Linked DNA regions of Tribolium castaneum. The protein of the gene in region 1 binds, or shares a complex with, the protein of each later gene. Links are inferred from orthologs where the notes say so. Each region holds a gene or a part of one and is shown in the gene's direction. Other genes may lie near its edges. The genes, in order: Polr1H, Polr1B, Tif-IA, Polr1F and Polr2K.

Region 1 (2,554 bases):
TAGACCCCACAAACTTTATATCGACAAAAAGCTCTTAAAAATACCATGCAATGGTGCAATAATAAACAGGGTGTTGCATTTGAAAAAATCGAGTTATTGCAATATGTAGTTTGTCATATTCAGAAAATCGTAGTAGGCGCTAAAATATCGACATCGAGTTTGCTTTTATTGCAAAAGATGCGCTAAAGCTTAAGAAGTTGGCTAAGAAAAAAAATTGTTACATTATCTTAAATGGTTCTGAAGTTATACATTTTTTGAGGGTCTTTGCACGACACACTTTTCACACATAAATTGACATAAGTCAAAAACTATGACAGATAAGTCTATAAAACCCGGGTGCATTATATCGACAATTTAGTCACGTTTTCAAAAATATAATAAAAATTGGGGTTTCCAATTAAAAAAACAAAACCTAGTGGAGTATTTTATTACAACATTACAACATAAAAATATTGTAAGACCTATCGTTTAAAAAAACTTTAAATTGATAGTTTGCATAGAAAAAAAGTTATGGAGCATGCACGAACTCTTGGGTCACTCTGTATATGCACTACCTCGTGAGACACCCTGTATATTTTAGGTGCAAAATGCTTGGTTCAATACTTTAAATTGAAATTAGCTGTTATAAATTATTCACGCACTTCAAAAAAATAATAGCTAATCTAATTTATACTTTCAATGATAGTTCCAATCATAAATAACAATTTTACAATTTTATCAATACTATTTAAAAACAATATTCGGCAAAATGCGGCGTTGGTGTTTTTTAAGTTTTGAATGGTAAAAGCTCAGATCAAAGTAGTTAGCGTTGTTATGTTTACGCAATTGTTTATTCATTGTTTATTTGACAATTTATTACCAAACAATTACCACTTGTTACCAAACGTATATAGTTATTTTTTTTATATAAACAACTGTCAGTGTCAAAATTCTGATAAGGACAAGACTGTATCAGTACTTAATCTTAGAACATTTTATCGCGTTTTATATTGGGTTTAAATATTAAACAATTCCTACCTTGAAACGGGACAAATCCGCTTGTGTAAAATCATTCGGCAGATTAATGTAAAAGTATGGAGAAAAACCATGAATATGACAACACACACTATTGCCCACTTTTGTAATACCAAACATTCGAATCACAGGAACAGTACCAGTTTGAGCCCCTGGCATTCCAGGATAAGGGGCTGAAATGTAATGATCCAACTCTAATTCTTGAAAAATTAGTGCATCATCAGTGGGGTTTAAATCGCCAACTGGGGGGCGAAAAATTTTGTCGTTCCTTCAATTAACCAAATAGAAAACAATCATTTTTTGTCAAGAAATCTTACTTGAACCTCTTCCCTGATGAATTCGGAGGCGGAAGATTGCGTTTTGTTGCCATTTTGCTGTAAACAAACGGACTCCAAACAAGATATTTCAGTTTCTTCCCGCTTAAAATAATTATAGGTTATGTTGTCTTGAAATGCGTGAAGTGTGACCAATATGTAAATTGGAAAATTCCCAACAGTTGACACATGTGTTTTTTAGGTTAATTTTTCGAATTAAATCACTCAAAAAATTAAAAATGAGTACTGGCCCTAATTTTGAAAGTATCGAAGGGTTTTGTCCCGACTGTGGTTCCATTTTGCCACCTTTAAAACAAACAGGAGGTGTGAAATGTTATGCCTGTGAACGCAATTTTCCATCAGATGGTAAGTTAAATTTGTCTCAATGATAATTCTAAAGAATTGATAATACTTTTTTTGTAGTTTTTCGAGGAACTAAAGCTTCATATGTGATACACTTCAATTCGCGAGACTACAAAACTCATTCAATGAACAAGCAGAACAATAAAAAGGATGAAGAAGAAGATGATGGTCCTGTTGTTGATAGAAAATGTGCCAAATGTGGTCATGATAAAATGACTTATGCGACAGTTCAATTGAGATCAGCAGATGAGGGCCAAACTGTGTTTTATACTTGCACAAAATGTAAATTCAAAGAGAGTGAAAATTCGTAATTGGTCAATAAATACGCATTTTTGTTAATAACTAATTTATTCAATTTAAAAGCATTAATAATTAAAAAAAATGAACAAATAATCTATAGTCCTATGGAGGACTATAGATTAGGAAGCGAGACGGGGTGTAAAATAGTACGGTAGAATTAAAATTGGGCGCTTCGAGTGTTATTTGGCGCCTAATAATCGTTTTACATTAATTTTATTTCAACCAATTAATGGAAAAAATACATCCGTACCGTAATAGGTTGAAAAAAAGTGACGCCCAAAATTTTTACGAGAAACGTGAAAAACAATATTTGAAATCTGCCGCATTGTCTCATATTTTTCAAAACGCTGCAAATACAGTTGAAGATACAAAAAAATGACTAGTGACTGTTTTAGGCTCTACACCAACTTACAACATGAGTGAAAGTGAGACTTAATTGTTTGTGTTATGTTTTTACTTAATAAAAAAAGTCTACCTTTTATATTATTGCTTTGGATGTTACAAAGTTCTGTTTACTTGAATCACCCTGTATTTTTACGTTAAAGTTCGCTGCCAAAAGATTA
Region 2 (4,025 bases), on another chromosome or scaffold:
CCATGTCCCTCTATGTCTTAATCTTTTATGTTGTTTTACACAATGTTATAACGCCTATGCCTGTTAAAAAAACAAGGTTTGTCCTTTTTGTGATTGCTTAATTTAGAAACTAAGCGAAAAAACGTATTCTACAAGTATCATACAAGTTAATCAATATTAAAGCCTACTATTATTATAAATTTAAATGATTACATGGTAGTTTTAATCAGTTAACTTCCAGTTATAGTTATGTATATCAGATATGTGGCTTTTTATTTAAAATAATTTTAGCACACTTGTAATTCCCTTGTGTTTGAGTAATTTACTAATAACTATGATGCAGTCGAGATTACTTTTAAAAAATTTCAAAATTTATCAAGAACTTTGACATCAAACTGTTAAAGTACGTGTTAGGGCCGCTTTTACAAACGTCCGTAAACCTTATAACCGCGAATAAATTTCGAAAAATAGTTGTTTAAATTTAGCCTTAAGGGACTTAAAAATTGGACTATTGTCAAAGGTTACAAGCAAAATTTTGATATTTTTTTGCTTTTCTGAACAGTCTGCAGACAAGTAATCAAACCAACAAAACTGATGTATGTATACAGACTGATCCCGAAATACTGTGTCTGTTAGCAATCTGAATTTAAATTTTAAAGGATACCAATAGTGTATACTTTCAGGTATTAATTCAATAATTTAATCTGATGCCAACATACTCAGTTTCTCTGGATCATTGTGTATATTTAGACACTGTATTTACATATATTATTACATCTGAGTATGCCTATACATTCCAGCACGTTATTATTTTTTTAATAAATTTTTATTGGAAAGACTGTTTCATTTTATTAAGCGATGTTAAATGTTTTTGTGCTATTGCAACTGTTACAGATGCTTTTTTATTAAAATGTCTCGTAACAGTGCATGAGTACAGAAACATTTAACATTTATTATTCTTTTAATTTGGAAAATAAATAAAATGTCCTGTTTGAATTTCCCGCTATTATCGAATTAGTTCGTTCTCTCAGGGTTAGGTGGCGCTTTCGCGAAAAAACGAGGGGTAGACAGAGAGATTCGCTTCTTCCTCTCTCTTATTCTATGACTGACAATAAAATTGTCAATCGTGACAATACGATTTCAATTAACCATTTTATCCCCTTTACCTATTAAAGGCAACAAGGCAATTATGTTTTTTTAATAATGAAATTATTAAAATTGGTGGTTGTCCATATGCAATAATCGTGGTGGGTTGTATTGCTGGTTGCATACGCCACCGGGAAGTGACAATTGTCGGGTTCAATTTTCACGTTTTATTATTTATTTTTAAGTTTAAGTGAGTGTTTTAATAATGTTGGACGAGCCGAGCCTTTCCAATATCACGGATCCCAATTTCGGGCGCCCCCCCGAGTCACAGAACGTGGTAAGTGTCTTAAAACTAACACGTGTTTTTTTGAGGTTATGTTTTTTTTTTCAAATGAAAAAATTCAAATTTGTAGCTTTTGCAACAATTGGGGCACCCACACGTGTCTAGCTTCAATTACATGATAAATCAGGGGCTAGACCAGGCGATTTCTGATTTGAATCCGGTTGAGTTTATGGTAAATGGGGATAAAATCACACTTGAAATAACCGATGCTAGTCTCAGTTGCCCCTTGGTGCCGATGGGCACAGTTGGGGTCAAAAGCCCTAAAGTATTTCCATCGGAGTGTAGGCAAAGGGCCGCGACCTACAAAGGGCGGTTTATTGCCAGGGTTAATTGGGCGATTAATGGGGAGAGACAGACGGCGTTTGATAAGGATATGGGCCAGTTGCCCATCATGATTAAAGTATTTTTTGTTTTTTTGTGTGTGTTTTTTTAATTGGCGAGGTTAATTGTAGTCGAATAAGTGCCACTTGAGCGCCATGTCCCCCGCAGAGTTGGTCAAACACGGGGAGCATGAGCAGGAATGGGGGGGCTATTTTGTGGTCAAAGGCCACGAGAGACTAGTAAGGATGTTGCTAATGACACGTCGGAACTATCCAATTGCTATAAAACGCTCGGGCTGGAAAGCGCGGGGCTCGATTTTTTCAGACTGTGGTATTTCCATGAGGTGTGTCAGGGAGGACCAAACGGCCACTGTAATTTTTTAAAAAAATTACCAAAAACTTGGTATAATTTTACATTTTTAGACGAATGTTTTACATTTTGTTACGGATGGAACCGCCAAATTAATGTTCAGTTACAAGAAAGTTTTGTACTACACGCCGTTAGTCCTGATTTTGAAATGTTTGTGCGATTATTGCGACCAGTTTATTTACCAGAAGTTGATACAAGGGTACCAGCACGATTCCTACTACTTGGAGTAAGCATAAATTGTTACTAGAGACTGGATTTTTAGGAGTTACAAAAAAACTTAATTTAGAAAATTGGTATTGAAATTTGCTAATTAGAACATATTCTTTATTAATTCGTACAGCAGGAAAAATTAAACGTAATTTTTATGCAATATTGCAATAAGGTCCATTACAAAAACAAACAAAACGAAAACTTGAAGTTCTCTGTTGCACCATTTGCTTTTGTTTTTCTGTAAAAATTCAACCTAACAAATAAACTTATTGTATGGAAATGGATACTGGTACTAAATTGATAATATTTTTTCATTCAATTAACATTTTTATTTTTAGTAAATTTTTATATCTAGAATTTTGTATTCAGTTTGTCTTAGTTTGTCACTAACTTTTTTTCCACAACTTTTGGAGTAGGTAGTTTAAAAAAAAAGAACACTTTATTCACGCGTTCAATAGCTTCAGCAAAGGACGAGACTACTGCTTCTATTTTTTTTCTGTTATTTACTAAAATTTCAGAATGAGAATAAAGTTAGTTATTTTTCAAAGCGTCTTGAATAAAATAATGTTGTGCATTTGCTAGTGCGCATAAATCTTCAAAAAATAATTTAATATACAACTACAGTATTTCCACCAGAAAACTAAAACACCAAACTAAAAGGCTAAAACACAAAAAAAATAAAAAATGGGGAGATTGAAATTCTGAAAACTGAAAAATAGACTGCAGAACTGGAAGCACTAATTAATTAAAACATTACATTGTAAAAAAAAACAATTCACTAAGGGCCGGTTTATAGAAAGTTGCATCAAATTTTAATTCGTTGTTAAAAGTTAACAACGCGATTAGATCAATCAAATTGTCTCCGTTTGGTCACGTGATCAGTTAATCACGCATTAAGTGCGAATTAAATTAATGACGCTTCTATAAACCGGTCCTAAGAGACTGAAAAGCTGAAATACAAAAAAGAACTAAAACAAAAAACTGTGGGTGGTATTAATAGAAATAGCAAATCCTTAAATTTATGTTAATAACGAAATGCTTTTACTTATTTCTTTTACTTGTTTCTGTCTGTAATAAGGAATTATTTATCATTTGTGTGTGGTTGTGTGTCACTTAAAAAATTTGAAAAATTGTTTTCTTCAAGCATATTTCATAAGATACATACTAAAATATTCTGCAGTTTATTCACTATTATGCTATTGTAGAACGTCTGATGATTTTTCATGTAAAGGTGAATCTTTGCCTGAGAAAAAAAATTATTAAAATATCCTATTATTTAAATAAAAGGCAAGTGCCCCCTAATGGACTTCATAAATAAAAAAAAATCTGAAAGTAATTGTGAATATGCATAATTAACAACCCGCTAGATTGGTAAAATTAATTGATAAACATATACTGATTAAAACAATTAACAATAATTTAAACATCACAATAAAAAACAAAACGCAAAAATGTAACTGGTAATAAAAAAATTATACTGAGCACCTCCGAAAAAATATTTTTGGATTTTATGCTAGATGAACAGGAAAATATTTCTACATTATCAAAAATTTCTATTGGAATAGAGATTGGAGTAGTTTCTAATTCAATAGAAGGAAAACAAGAAGAGATTCCTGTAATACGGAATACTCTTAAAAAATTGCCACTGTCACCTGTTAGATTTTTATCTATTAACGCCTTCATTTCAGAAACGGATGAAATGAAAAATCTTTCAAGC
Region 3 (4,020 bases), on another chromosome or scaffold:
AGTGATCATTTGAATTCATTACAATTAGAGTACCTACTGAAACTGATATTGAAAGAATGGTTAAGACTTGAGTCTACCAACTATTCGGAGGAAACTCTCCTACTCTAATTACAAATGACGACATATAATACTCGCTCATTAGTATTAAGTAGCGTCCTTGTTGTTGTTAAAGAGTTTTTTTACTCATTTATAAAATGTAGACGTAATAAATTATGATATTAATTTGAAACTACCATTCAATTATTTTTCCTTTATAAATTCGTTCTTCAGAGTCTTTTTGACAATATTGGTTACACACAGCGCGTGCTGTTAACATTTAAACAGCACTTTTTTAAACAGGAAAGTACTAACCATCAAGGTTTTTTACATTGTTCCATAACTGCTGGAAAAGAGAAATCAGAGGTGATTATTTCTGTTGTTTTTTTCCCTTTCCCAAAGATCATCTGAGGCAAGTGCCCTCGATCCGGCTCTGCCCCTATATCATGTAAAGAATCTTATTCAAAAAAAAATTAATACCTGCTTAAGTATGCTGAGTTAAAAATAATCGAATTCTTTTAGTTTTCGAGAGTAAGTTTGTTCTTACAAAGTGGATTTGTTTTAATTGTGAATCCTGTGAAGATTTCACTAAAATGTTTGGCTGAAATTATTTGCTTAAGAGATGAACTTCTGTGGTTGTCGGGTTGGACCTTAAAAATGTGCCTCCTTGTGTTTTTCAGATCAAAAAAAACGTTAAATGACAAAAATCAATACATTAGACAAACCTCCTTGTTCCCATCTTGTAACAATAAGTTACCTCACAGATTATATTTTTTGTTGGTGTCGTACTTGTTGCCGTGTCGTTTAATTTTACTCACTTTATGACTTACTGTTTTGTGAAAGAATTTTTGCGGATTAAAAGTTCCAAATTCGTTGACTAGTGCGTGCTGATCGCGGTTAGTGTGTGCTATTGAAAGGGATTTTTAAGGGGAAAAGAGAAAACAACCCGGATTAAAGGGTTAGTTTTCAATAATTTATTTTTAGAAAAGTTTCTACATTAAAATCTATAATATTTTCAACGAATTTACTGGTACAATGTTCCAATTTCACTGTTTTTTATTTCAGTAGGTTCGTGAAATGCTTTTGAATAGGTGATATTAACATCTTGTACTGATTTTACTTTTAATTTATTTTAATAAATTAGCCCGGCTCAAAATTTAAATAGTAGCCTTGCCAACCAAGCAACTTCGAAAAGCCACAACAAATAACCCTAGACGCAGACGTCAAACCACACGTTTTTCTCCTAACCTGTAAAAGATGTGATTTAAATAACATTGTGAAATACTGTTTTTATTGATTGACTGTGACTGAACCGTTGCTTTAATTTATGTAAGTGCCATATTTATCATTTTTTCAGAAAAAACAAACAAATTTCAGATCATTATGTCTTTATTCTCGGCCCCCACGAAGTCAACGACCCCTTCCTCGATCCTGAAGAAAACCCCAAGTCTCAAATCGACATTAAACCGCTCCTTGAAAGTGAACACACCCACTAAAGTCCGATTTATTTTACCACACTCTAAAAAAGTGCGCCACATATTGAAGGACTACATCAAACACGGAAATGCAAAGGATTATGAAAATTTAGTGTGCCTAATTCGCGATGCCGAACTGTTTGATGACGATATTTCCTCACTGTTGAAGGAAGCGACTGAGTGTATTTCAATAATGAAGCAGGAGTTACGTCTTTTTGTAGAAGCACTCCTTTCAGTTGACTGGATCGAAAGAAACGAAAATGTAGTTAAGGAGTATCAGTCATTTATTGCGAACTTAGTCGCTGCACATAACTATCACGCAGATTTTGTGATAAATAAATTAGTCACATTGTTTTTTCCCCGTAAGTTTGGTAAAGTAACTAATCACCAGTTAATTACCAGTGAATTATTTAGCTCTAACAGACCCTGAATGGGAAAATGGAACCCCCAGTAAAACGGATATTCTGAAGTGCCAACACGTCCACTCCCTCCTCTGTGAACTTCTAAGAACAGTCCCTTTGTAAGTAATTTTTCAAGTCTCAGGTACTTTCCGGATGTAATTATCTAGAGTAATAAGCAATTTTCTCTATAAAATAGTTTATAAATTAAATCTGTGCTAATGGGCATTTCAGGTGCAACGAATTGCTAATCCACGCCCTGATCGACCACTTCCCTTACATGAACAAATCGACCCACATCCACGAATACTACATCCAGAACCTCCTCTGGGTCATCTGCTACCAGCCCACTCTCAGACCCAACATCCTCCACTTAATTTTCTCAAAACTGATCATCATGGACGTGAGTGCGCCCCGCGAGGAAATCGCGAAACTTGAAGAGGAGGAAATTTTCATGATGGACGAGAGCAAAACAAACACTACGATAAATCTGGACTGCGTCCATTCAATGGCACACACTTTGGACGTTTGCCTGGATAAAGTGTTCAATTACATTTACTCCGAGTGCCATGAGCCGGGCACTAATGACTTGAATTGGGGCAAAACCAAGTCTTTATACCAGGATATTTTGACGGTCTTTGATCAGTCGATCCTGCCAACTTACAATACTCATCACGTCCAGTTTGTTATGTTTGTGCTGTGTTCCTTTAAAACGACGTTAACGGAGGCGTTTTTTAATTACTTGTGGAAGAAGGTGTGCAATCCGAACGTCGCGTCGGTGATTAGACAAGCGGCGGTTAATTATATTGTCAGTTTTATAGCGAGAGCCACTTTCGTCCCCCTTACGTAAGATTTTTTCAATTTTTTATGCCCCAGTTTAATGGAAAATTGCAGCATGTTGAAGGGGACTTTGCAACAAATGGCCGAATGGATCCACTCGTATATCGCCACTCAGGACGGCCTAGAGTGCGTCAATTCGGACCTAAGGCTCCACTCTGTCTTCTACACAGTGTGTCAAGCCCTCTTTTATGTGATTTCGTTCCGGCACAAGGATTTAGTCAACACAAAAAAAAGTAATGATTTTTTTACTCGAACATTGTCACAACTTTGATTACAGATGTCGTATTTTTGGAGAGTCTGAACTTGGCGAAAATCGTAACCAGTCGGTTAAACCCGTTGCGGGTTTGCCAACCTGCAGTCGTGCAAAATTTCGCTGCTATTACCCGAAAGTACCAACTAGCCTATTGTTACTCAATCATTGAACACAATTCGAGGAACACTTTACCGACTGTTTATAGAGACGAGAAAGGTTTTGTGACAGTTTCAAGTAACGTCCTAGAGGCGTGTTACCCGTTTGATCCTTTTGTTTTATCAAGGTTCGTTGCACCGTTTTTTGGGGGATTCCCCTGACTGTTTTAATTGCAGGTCGAGTGCGAAAGTGCACCCGTTTTATCGGGACTACAAGGAGGTGAGTTTTGAGGTAAACGATTCAGAAATGAGGGAAATTGGGGACGTTGACGATTTCCTCGAGAATGACTTTAACTCAAAAACGCAGAAATTCTCATACGGGACTTCGCCAGGGTTTAAATTTAAGGGCTAATGTGATACTGATTTATGCAAGATGTTATTTATTAATTTGATAGGAAAATAAAGTTTCTCAAAATATGACCTATATTTTAATACCGTTATAAACATGAATATATTATAAATATAACAAAAAATCATAAATAGTTTTTCCACAAAGGAGGCACATTTATACAAATTTCTCTATTAAAAAGTAAACTCGTTATTTAGACTGACTTTCGAGTTCCTGTTCGACAAGTCGTCTGTACTCATCAAAACCTTCTATACTTCGCACAGAGCCATTACCACAAACCCACAACTCCTTGCACACTTTGCGAATAAGCCGCTCGTCGTGCGACACAAGTATCACACCGCCCTAGAAAAAATTAAGCACAAGGGAGGTAAAAAAATAAAAAAGTGTATGGTGGTAATGTGATCACCCAAAAGTGGTAAAAGCGTTAACTTACGGTGAATTTGACTATCGCATTCCCTAAAGCTTCAATTGTTTCGATATCTAAATGATTGGTGGGTTCGTCAAGTACGAGGAA
Region 4 (3,554 bases), on another chromosome or scaffold:
CACGTACGTCTTAAATAAGGCCTAACAGGCTTATTAACTGAGTTTGATTGATCTGAATTACTACAGAGTGTTTACAATTTTTTTTCAAACTTCTTAAAATTTAAAGTCTGTAGCACCCTGTACAGGTGGTCCAGCCCAGCTTCCATCTTCGGTGGCTCAGTTATTATTTAACAATTTATACTCTAGGATTTCAAAAAAATATTTTTGTTTATACATAGTGTCACAAAAAAGTATGACATCATAATAATAATTTTTATGGCATACTACTATTACTACATTAAGATGCCTTTCTAGCTTCTTACATGTCCCTAAAGTTTTTTAATCGGTTTTATTACTACTTTACCAGAAACATGAAATATGATCAAAAAAACTCATTTTTCTCACGAGTTCTTTTATCTGTAAGATGATGCAATAAAAGCTGTATATTTTTGAAAAACACAAAAATAAATAAGGAAAACTTGAAATAATTAGCAATCACTAGCACAAACACTAGAAATAACAGATAAGTACTTGTGTGATATCAACTTATCTAGTCATTATTATTATCTATTCCGGAGTCTGGGTGGTTCTAATCCATACAAAAATAACACAACAGATGTAGTAAGATAAAAAGTAATATGAAATCAACTAAATCTATCAACATGCAGTAAACAATAACACTAACACTGAATCCAGTTCCACAAATTTATGTTTTTGTCTCTAGAACAAAAACTTTAAAATTAATCCCTCACTAATCTGGCATCATTTCTTGCAATAATTTTGTTAATCTCTGTTAAAAAACAAAAAATAAGCAACATATCCCACTTGAACCACCAACTTATTAACGAGTTGATATCACAGTATAATATCTACAACTCACCGGTTTAGAGGTTTCCTTGTAATAATTACGTTTATTAATCCATTTCACACAGTTTTAAAACATTTATCAACTGTATTTAACTTTGTACAAGCCCTTTACCACTTTTGAAACGAGACAACACGTAAAATGTCAACACCTGAAATAATTGGTACGACTGACACAGAGTTGGAAAAATTGAAAGTCACTAAACTGTGCGCTTAGAATCCTATGGTTTTTGAGTCTTTTTTTTTGAGTTTTTGAAAAATATAAAAACACACCAAATTCCTACAAGTTTTCTTTTAATTGAACGTAAGGACTAACACTAGGACACAAAAAAGTGTCTGGGTTCCAAATACACGAAACAAGAAGAGAGTATCAAATGCACATTGGGTCGAAAGCGCGCACCAGAATCAAAAATCAAAAAAAGAATTTTTTAACACATTCAAAAAAAGGTCATGGAGTAAATACAATTGCCATGTATAATTACATAAGTGTACTATAGTAGATAAGAACCATTAATAAAAGTGTAAAAAACCGGTTAATTATTTTACGTAACCTCACATTTTTTGTGACTTGAGGTGATATATTATCGTGGATTTGTGGCCTAATTAATATTAATAAATGGTGGGTTTGTGATTTCACGTAAGTCATTTAATATTTTTGTCATTTTTTGCACTATAACACATTTGTTAGGTTTCCAAAAAAATTAAGTGAGGTTATCATACCCACACGTGGGCCCCCCGAAAATGAAAAAACAAAAATTATTAAAAACTTTTAATTTAAACGAATTAAACTCGTTAGTTGAGGATAAGAATTCGTGTGTGGAATTACTTACCCTCCAGGAACACATAGCCCTCCACCCTTACCACTTGAACGATTTAAATAATTCAGTTAAGGAGATCCTCAATTCAAGGATAGGGAAGTTTAGTGCCAGGTTTTGGGTAAAAATGAAAGTTTTGCCAATAGTTTTAATAATTTATTTGTAGATTAGATGGGATTCTGTGTGGTTACAAAAATACAAAATTGTTGTCAAAAGCAGGAAAAATCTGTGATGATTCTTGCTACATTCACGCCGATATTGAGGCCGAATTCTTCATTTTTAAGCCTGTGGAAGGTAAAATACTGGAAGGTGTCGTACACAAAAAGACTAAAGATCATGTTGGTTGTCTGGTACATAAAATTTTTAATGTGTCTTTGCCAAAGCCCAAGAAACATGAGTGGTTGGGCGAAAATTTGAACCCTGGCAGTAGAATACAACTAGAAATCACGTCAACAAATTTCGAGGGAAAATTGCCTTACATTAAAGGTAGAATTATGTAAGTTTATTTTTCATCATACAACTACATAGTGAGTCTGCTAAAAGTATTTCTCACCATATTTTAAAAAGTAATAGTCGCCCAAAAGTCAGCGTTATTAAATTATTAAATACTTTATATTTTTTTCTATACATGTGTTTCTTTTTCAGAATTTGTTTACCCTTTCTTATACGAATAATTGAATTTTTTATTTTTACTTAATTATTTTTTTTGGGGGTTAGTTACAGTTTTTTCAGCAACATTTAATTAACCATCGCTTGTTTTCAGGTGACACAGGAAATAAAAAAAATGTAGATAATTAGTAGTGCTTAGTTAATTTATTTATTGATTTTAATTGTACGGAATTGTAGAAAAATTCTGAAAAAAATCACAAGCACAGAAAAAAATATAAAGTATTTACTAGCAAACGCTGAATTCTGTGGGACTAGTTTTTGAGATGTAGTAACAAATATACTTTATAACAGACTCACCCTGTAGACAAAACTTAATTCAATTAATTGTAGCAATGTTTTGGACGCGACTCCAAACGTATTAAACGAGTCGAACAATAAAATAGTTTTTGAAGAAAACCTTGATGAGACAGTGACAAAAAGTAGTAAGAAGAAAGCGAAAAAAATTATTTTTGATGAGTCGTTCAATGACGAGAGTCTTAATTTTGACACATTAATAAAAGAAGGTAAATTTTTTATTAAAAAAAATTCTTACAACTTCTTGACAACTAATTTCAGAACCTGAGATAAGTTTAAAGAAGAGTAAGAAAAAAACTAAACGTAAGGCGGAAGTTGACGAAGATATTGAACCACCAATCAAAAAGAAAAAGAAAAAACATGTACAAGAGGATTCTTCATAAAATTGTTCCACAAATACATGAAATAAAATATAAAACACAATTCTTTTCTTTGTAAATGCCTCAATTTTTTTTAAATAATTCAGGCTTGAAGAGCTGGGCGTTCTTGCTTGGCTTCCAGTTCCACATTAGTTTGGGCATAGCCTGTACCCCCCTATAATAAAAACCGCATTACTTTTGTTACAAATTGAAGTGTTACTGTTTTACCCTCTGCATTACAATGATGTCTTTTTCTGTCAATTTTTTGCTAGTGAGCGGATGTATCCAATCTTTTTTTATAATTTTCTCCACACATTCTAGCGTAACAACGTCACCCCTAAAAGTACGGTCATTTTTTTATTTAGTGTTGTTAATAAGTTATTAACTTACGTTGGTTTGAGAACAGCACAGGGAACTGAGTTACTTAAAACATCGTGTGTTACAGCACACATGTAACGACATTCTTTCGCAATTAAGGATTTTTTGTCGCCTGAATCCTTGATTGGAGTGAATTTGACGTCAATTAAGTCTTTTACTTTGAGGGGTTTCCCCGAAATGGGGCACAATACCACAT
Region 5 (2,346 bases), on another chromosome or scaffold:
GCACGAAAAGGAGGGTTTTTATTATTGAAACCATGGGCGGGTATTGCGGATATTTGGCCACACTTGCAGGTAATATCGATATTAAGTTGGCAACATTGTATGAAATGAAGACAGTTTGTGTCTCAAAACGTAAAATATTCGACCCTATACAGGTTGTTTCAGAACTACTTAGTTTTTGACGTAATTTATTTCTTCCAAAATCCTCCATTTTAGAAATAAAATATAGGAGTTCGTATTACTTGTATTATCTTATTTCTGATACACCTTGTATATTTGATGCATGGGGTAATTAAATATCTATTAATGATATAAAAAAGGTAAATATTAATGTTTAAGTTTGACAGTCAATGTTGCCAACACATTCATTATTCAGCATCGCCAACTTATTTTCACATGTTAGGTCTCGCTGGGGGTGCGGATGCTGCGTACATTTACGAGGAAAAATTCACAATTAAAGACTTGCAACAAGATGTCTACCACATGGCTACGAAAATGTCCGAAGGTGTACAACGTGGTTTAATTTTACGTAACGAAAAAGCGTCAGATAACTACAATACCGACTTTATCTACAGATTGTATTGTGAGGAAGGAAAAGGCTTGTTTAGTGCCAGGATGAACGTTTTAGGTATTTATATAGACGTTTGTTTGTTTAAAAATTTAATACTTTTTTTGTGTGTGTATTGTTAAGGTCATATGCAACAAGGGGGTTCCCCCACACCTTTTGACCGCAATGTTGGTACCAAAATGGCGTCCAAAGCGGTCGAATGGATGATCAACCAATTAAAAAGCAATATGAGTTCAGACGGCTCAGTCAGTTGTTCTAGTCAAGACAGCGTCGTTCTGTTAGGAATCGTTAAAAGACAATACAAGTTTACACCAGTCGCTGAGTTGAAAGAACAAACCAACTTTGAGTACGTTTATAAATTATTAAACTGTTTTTTATAATTACTTTAAATTGTTTTAGCTTGCGTATGCCTAAAGAGCAATGGTGGTTGAAACTGCGCCCTCTATTGCGTATTTTGGCAAAACATGATTCGACATATGAGGAAGAAGGGATGTATATGACGATTGAGGATCGCAGTTTTATTAATTAAAGGCAACCGTAGCCATTTATAGTGAATTTGTATTTTTTAGCTTGTTTTATTTATTTTATTGTGTAGTTTATTTTATTAAATGAGATATTGTAAACAAATTTTGGCCATATTGTGATGACAATATCGATATTTGAAGACGGGTCAAGTGTTACAAAGTACGATTCGAGCTGGGTATGTGGAATGGACGTATTATATTTCAATAAAATTTTAATAAACTATCAAAAATTCCTGCACCTTTTTGAATTTCGCGCTTGTATACGTTGGCGTTGCCAACCGTTGGAATAACAAAAAAAAGATGAAATTCCCTAAGTCGGCATGGTGGCGTTGTTTTTATACAAAATTTATTAGAGGAGAAAACTACGTTCCCGCTCGTTTGTATTAAAAATTGTGCTAATTTAAGTGATTAGGATGTCGGAACCTTCGACCAAAGACTCAGGGGCCACGAAAACTCCCATGGTTTACATTTGCGGAGGTACGTGAAAGTGAGGTTATGTTTTGATTTGAAAATTTTCGAAAATTATTTAGAATGCCACAATGAGAACGAAATAAGGCCGCGGGATCCAATCAGGTGCCGGGAATGTGGGTACCGTATTATGTACAAGAAGAGAACCAAACGATGTATCCTTTTATTATCAATTACTAACACTTGCAAATTTTCAGTTAATTTTTCCTTAACTTTGATCCAGTGGCCGTGTTTGACGCCCGGTGAAAAAATTGTAATTAATTAAGGTTGGAATAGAGTGTTTTTTACATTGGGGTTATTATTTGCAAACCTGTCTTTCCCCTTTCCTACGTCCGACAATTCAAGCACCTTGGGCACCACCTGGGGCAATGCATCGATTTCCCAGGGCCCAGTTGTAGCGAAAATTTCAAGGTCTCGCGCAAGGGCAGTGCAGGACCACTTTCTGCAACGCAACCTCCTCTTTAACCAAATTCAAGGTCGTCCATGTGCGATCAATAAAACTAAATACACGCAGGTTCTACGCCGGTGTCTGAGCGCGCCGGTCGCGACGTGTGGCTTCGCCGTTGAAAACGCCGAGAGTAAAAAATTCGCCGATTTTTGGACTGACAATTGTCGGAGGAGTGAAGGTGGTGCAGGACGTGGGGGCCAATGATGGCCGTCTAGGGCTGCGATAACTGCGTTGTGTTATTGCACCACGTGCTGAAAGGGCGCCGGCGAGGTTTACCGTTGCGTGCCGGTTTCCCGCCAGCGCACTGAGGTAATTTTGATTTTTGAAGTGTTTTTTTGATT

The links.
Region 2: Polr1H (region 1) and Polr1B share a complex: the UniProt entries of both Homo sapiens proteins name them as parts of the pol I pre-initiation complex. The link is inferred for Tribolium castaneum from reciprocal best matches to the Homo sapiens genes POLR1H and POLR1B.
Region 3: Polr1H (region 1) and Tif-IA share a complex: the UniProt entries of both Homo sapiens proteins name them as parts of the pol I pre-initiation complex. The link is inferred for Tribolium castaneum from reciprocal best matches to the Homo sapiens genes POLR1H and RRN3.
Region 4: Polr1H (region 1) and Polr1F share a complex: the UniProt entries of both Homo sapiens proteins name them as parts of the RNA polymerase I (Pol I) complex. The link is inferred for Tribolium castaneum from reciprocal best matches to the Homo sapiens genes POLR1H and POLR1F.
Region 5: Polr1H (region 1) and Polr2K share a complex: the UniProt entries of both Homo sapiens proteins name them as parts of the pol I pre-initiation complex. The link is inferred for Tribolium castaneum from reciprocal best matches to the Homo sapiens genes POLR1H and POLR2K.

What each region holds. Positions count from the first base shown.
Region 1 is NC_087397.1:21,420,266-21,422,819, forward strand, and holds Polr1H (DNA-directed RNA polymerase I subunit RPA12), read left to right. Parts: upstream 1-1,478; 5' UTR 1,479-1,567; coding exon 1,568-1,694; intron 1,695-1,751; coding exon 1,752-2,002; 3' UTR 2,003-2,033; downstream 2,034-2,554. Other genes in the region: PolD1 (DNA polymerase delta catalytic subunit), read right to left, coding at 1,018-1,282, 1,332-1,384. UniProt on the Homo sapiens protein: Core component of RNA polymerase I (Pol I), a DNA-dependent RNA polymerase which synthesizes ribosomal RNA precursors using the four ribonucleoside triphosphates as substrates. Can mediate Pol I proofreading of the nascent RNA transcript.
Region 2 is NC_087399.1:7,572,244-7,576,268, reverse strand, and holds the start of Polr1B (DNA-directed RNA polymerase I subunit RPA2), read left to right. Parts: upstream 1-1,212; 5' UTR 1,213-1,330; coding exon 1,331-1,402; intron 1,403-1,478; coding exon 1,479-1,808; intron 1,809-1,860; coding exon 1,861-2,100; intron 2,101-2,151; coding exon 2,152-2,324; intron 2,325-4,025. UniProt on the Homo sapiens protein: Catalytic core component of RNA polymerase I (Pol I), a DNA-dependent RNA polymerase which synthesizes ribosomal RNA precursors using the four ribonucleoside triphosphates as substrates.
Region 3 is NC_087395.1:22,076,485-22,080,504, forward strand, and holds Tif-IA (RNA polymerase I-specific transcription initiation factor RRN3), read left to right. Parts: upstream 1-1,206; 5' UTR 1,207-1,365; intron 1,366-1,413; 5' UTR 1,414-1,419; coding exon 1,420-1,873; intron 1,874-1,925; coding exon 1,926-2,031; intron 2,032-2,143; coding exon 2,144-2,755; intron 2,756-2,803; coding exon 2,804-2,982; intron 2,983-3,026; coding exon 3,027-3,285; intron 3,286-3,334; coding exon 3,335-3,509; 3' UTR 3,510-3,577; downstream 3,578-4,020. Other genes in the region: ATP-binding cassette sub-family F member 3, read right to left, coding at 3,696-3,848, 3,940-4,020. UniProt on the Homo sapiens protein: Required for efficient transcription initiation by RNA polymerase I (Pol I). Required for the formation of the competent pre-initiation complex (PIC).
Region 4 is NC_087394.1:6,583,602-6,587,155, forward strand, and holds Polr1F (DNA-directed RNA polymerase I subunit RPA43), read left to right. Parts: upstream 1-1,231; 5' UTR 1,232-1,480; intron 1,481-1,531; 5' UTR 1,532-1,584; coding exon 1,585-1,772; intron 1,773-1,824; coding exon 1,825-2,154; intron 2,155-2,657; coding exon 2,658-2,830; intron 2,831-2,882; coding exon 2,883-3,004; 3' UTR 3,005-3,044; downstream 3,045-3,554. Other genes in the region: nitric oxide synthase-interacting protein homolog, read right to left, coding at 3,084-3,155, 3,209-3,317, 3,371-3,554. UniProt on the Homo sapiens protein: Component of RNA polymerase I (Pol I), a DNA-dependent RNA polymerase which synthesizes ribosomal RNA precursors using the four ribonucleoside triphosphates as substrates.
Region 5 is NC_087394.1:4,871,074-4,873,419, reverse strand, and holds Polr2K (DNA-directed RNA polymerases I, II, and III subunit RPABC4), read left to right. Parts: upstream 1-1,374; 5' UTR 1,375-1,502; coding exon 1,503-1,566; intron 1,567-1,619; coding exon 1,620-1,712; intron 1,713-1,780; coding exon 1,781-1,803; 3' UTR 1,804-1,846; downstream 1,847-2,346. Other genes in the region: Pfk (ATP-dependent 6-phosphofructokinase), read left to right, coding at 1-69, 401-625, 689-911, 965-1,094. UniProt on the Homo sapiens protein: DNA-dependent RNA polymerase catalyzes the transcription of DNA into RNA using the four ribonucleoside triphosphates as substrates.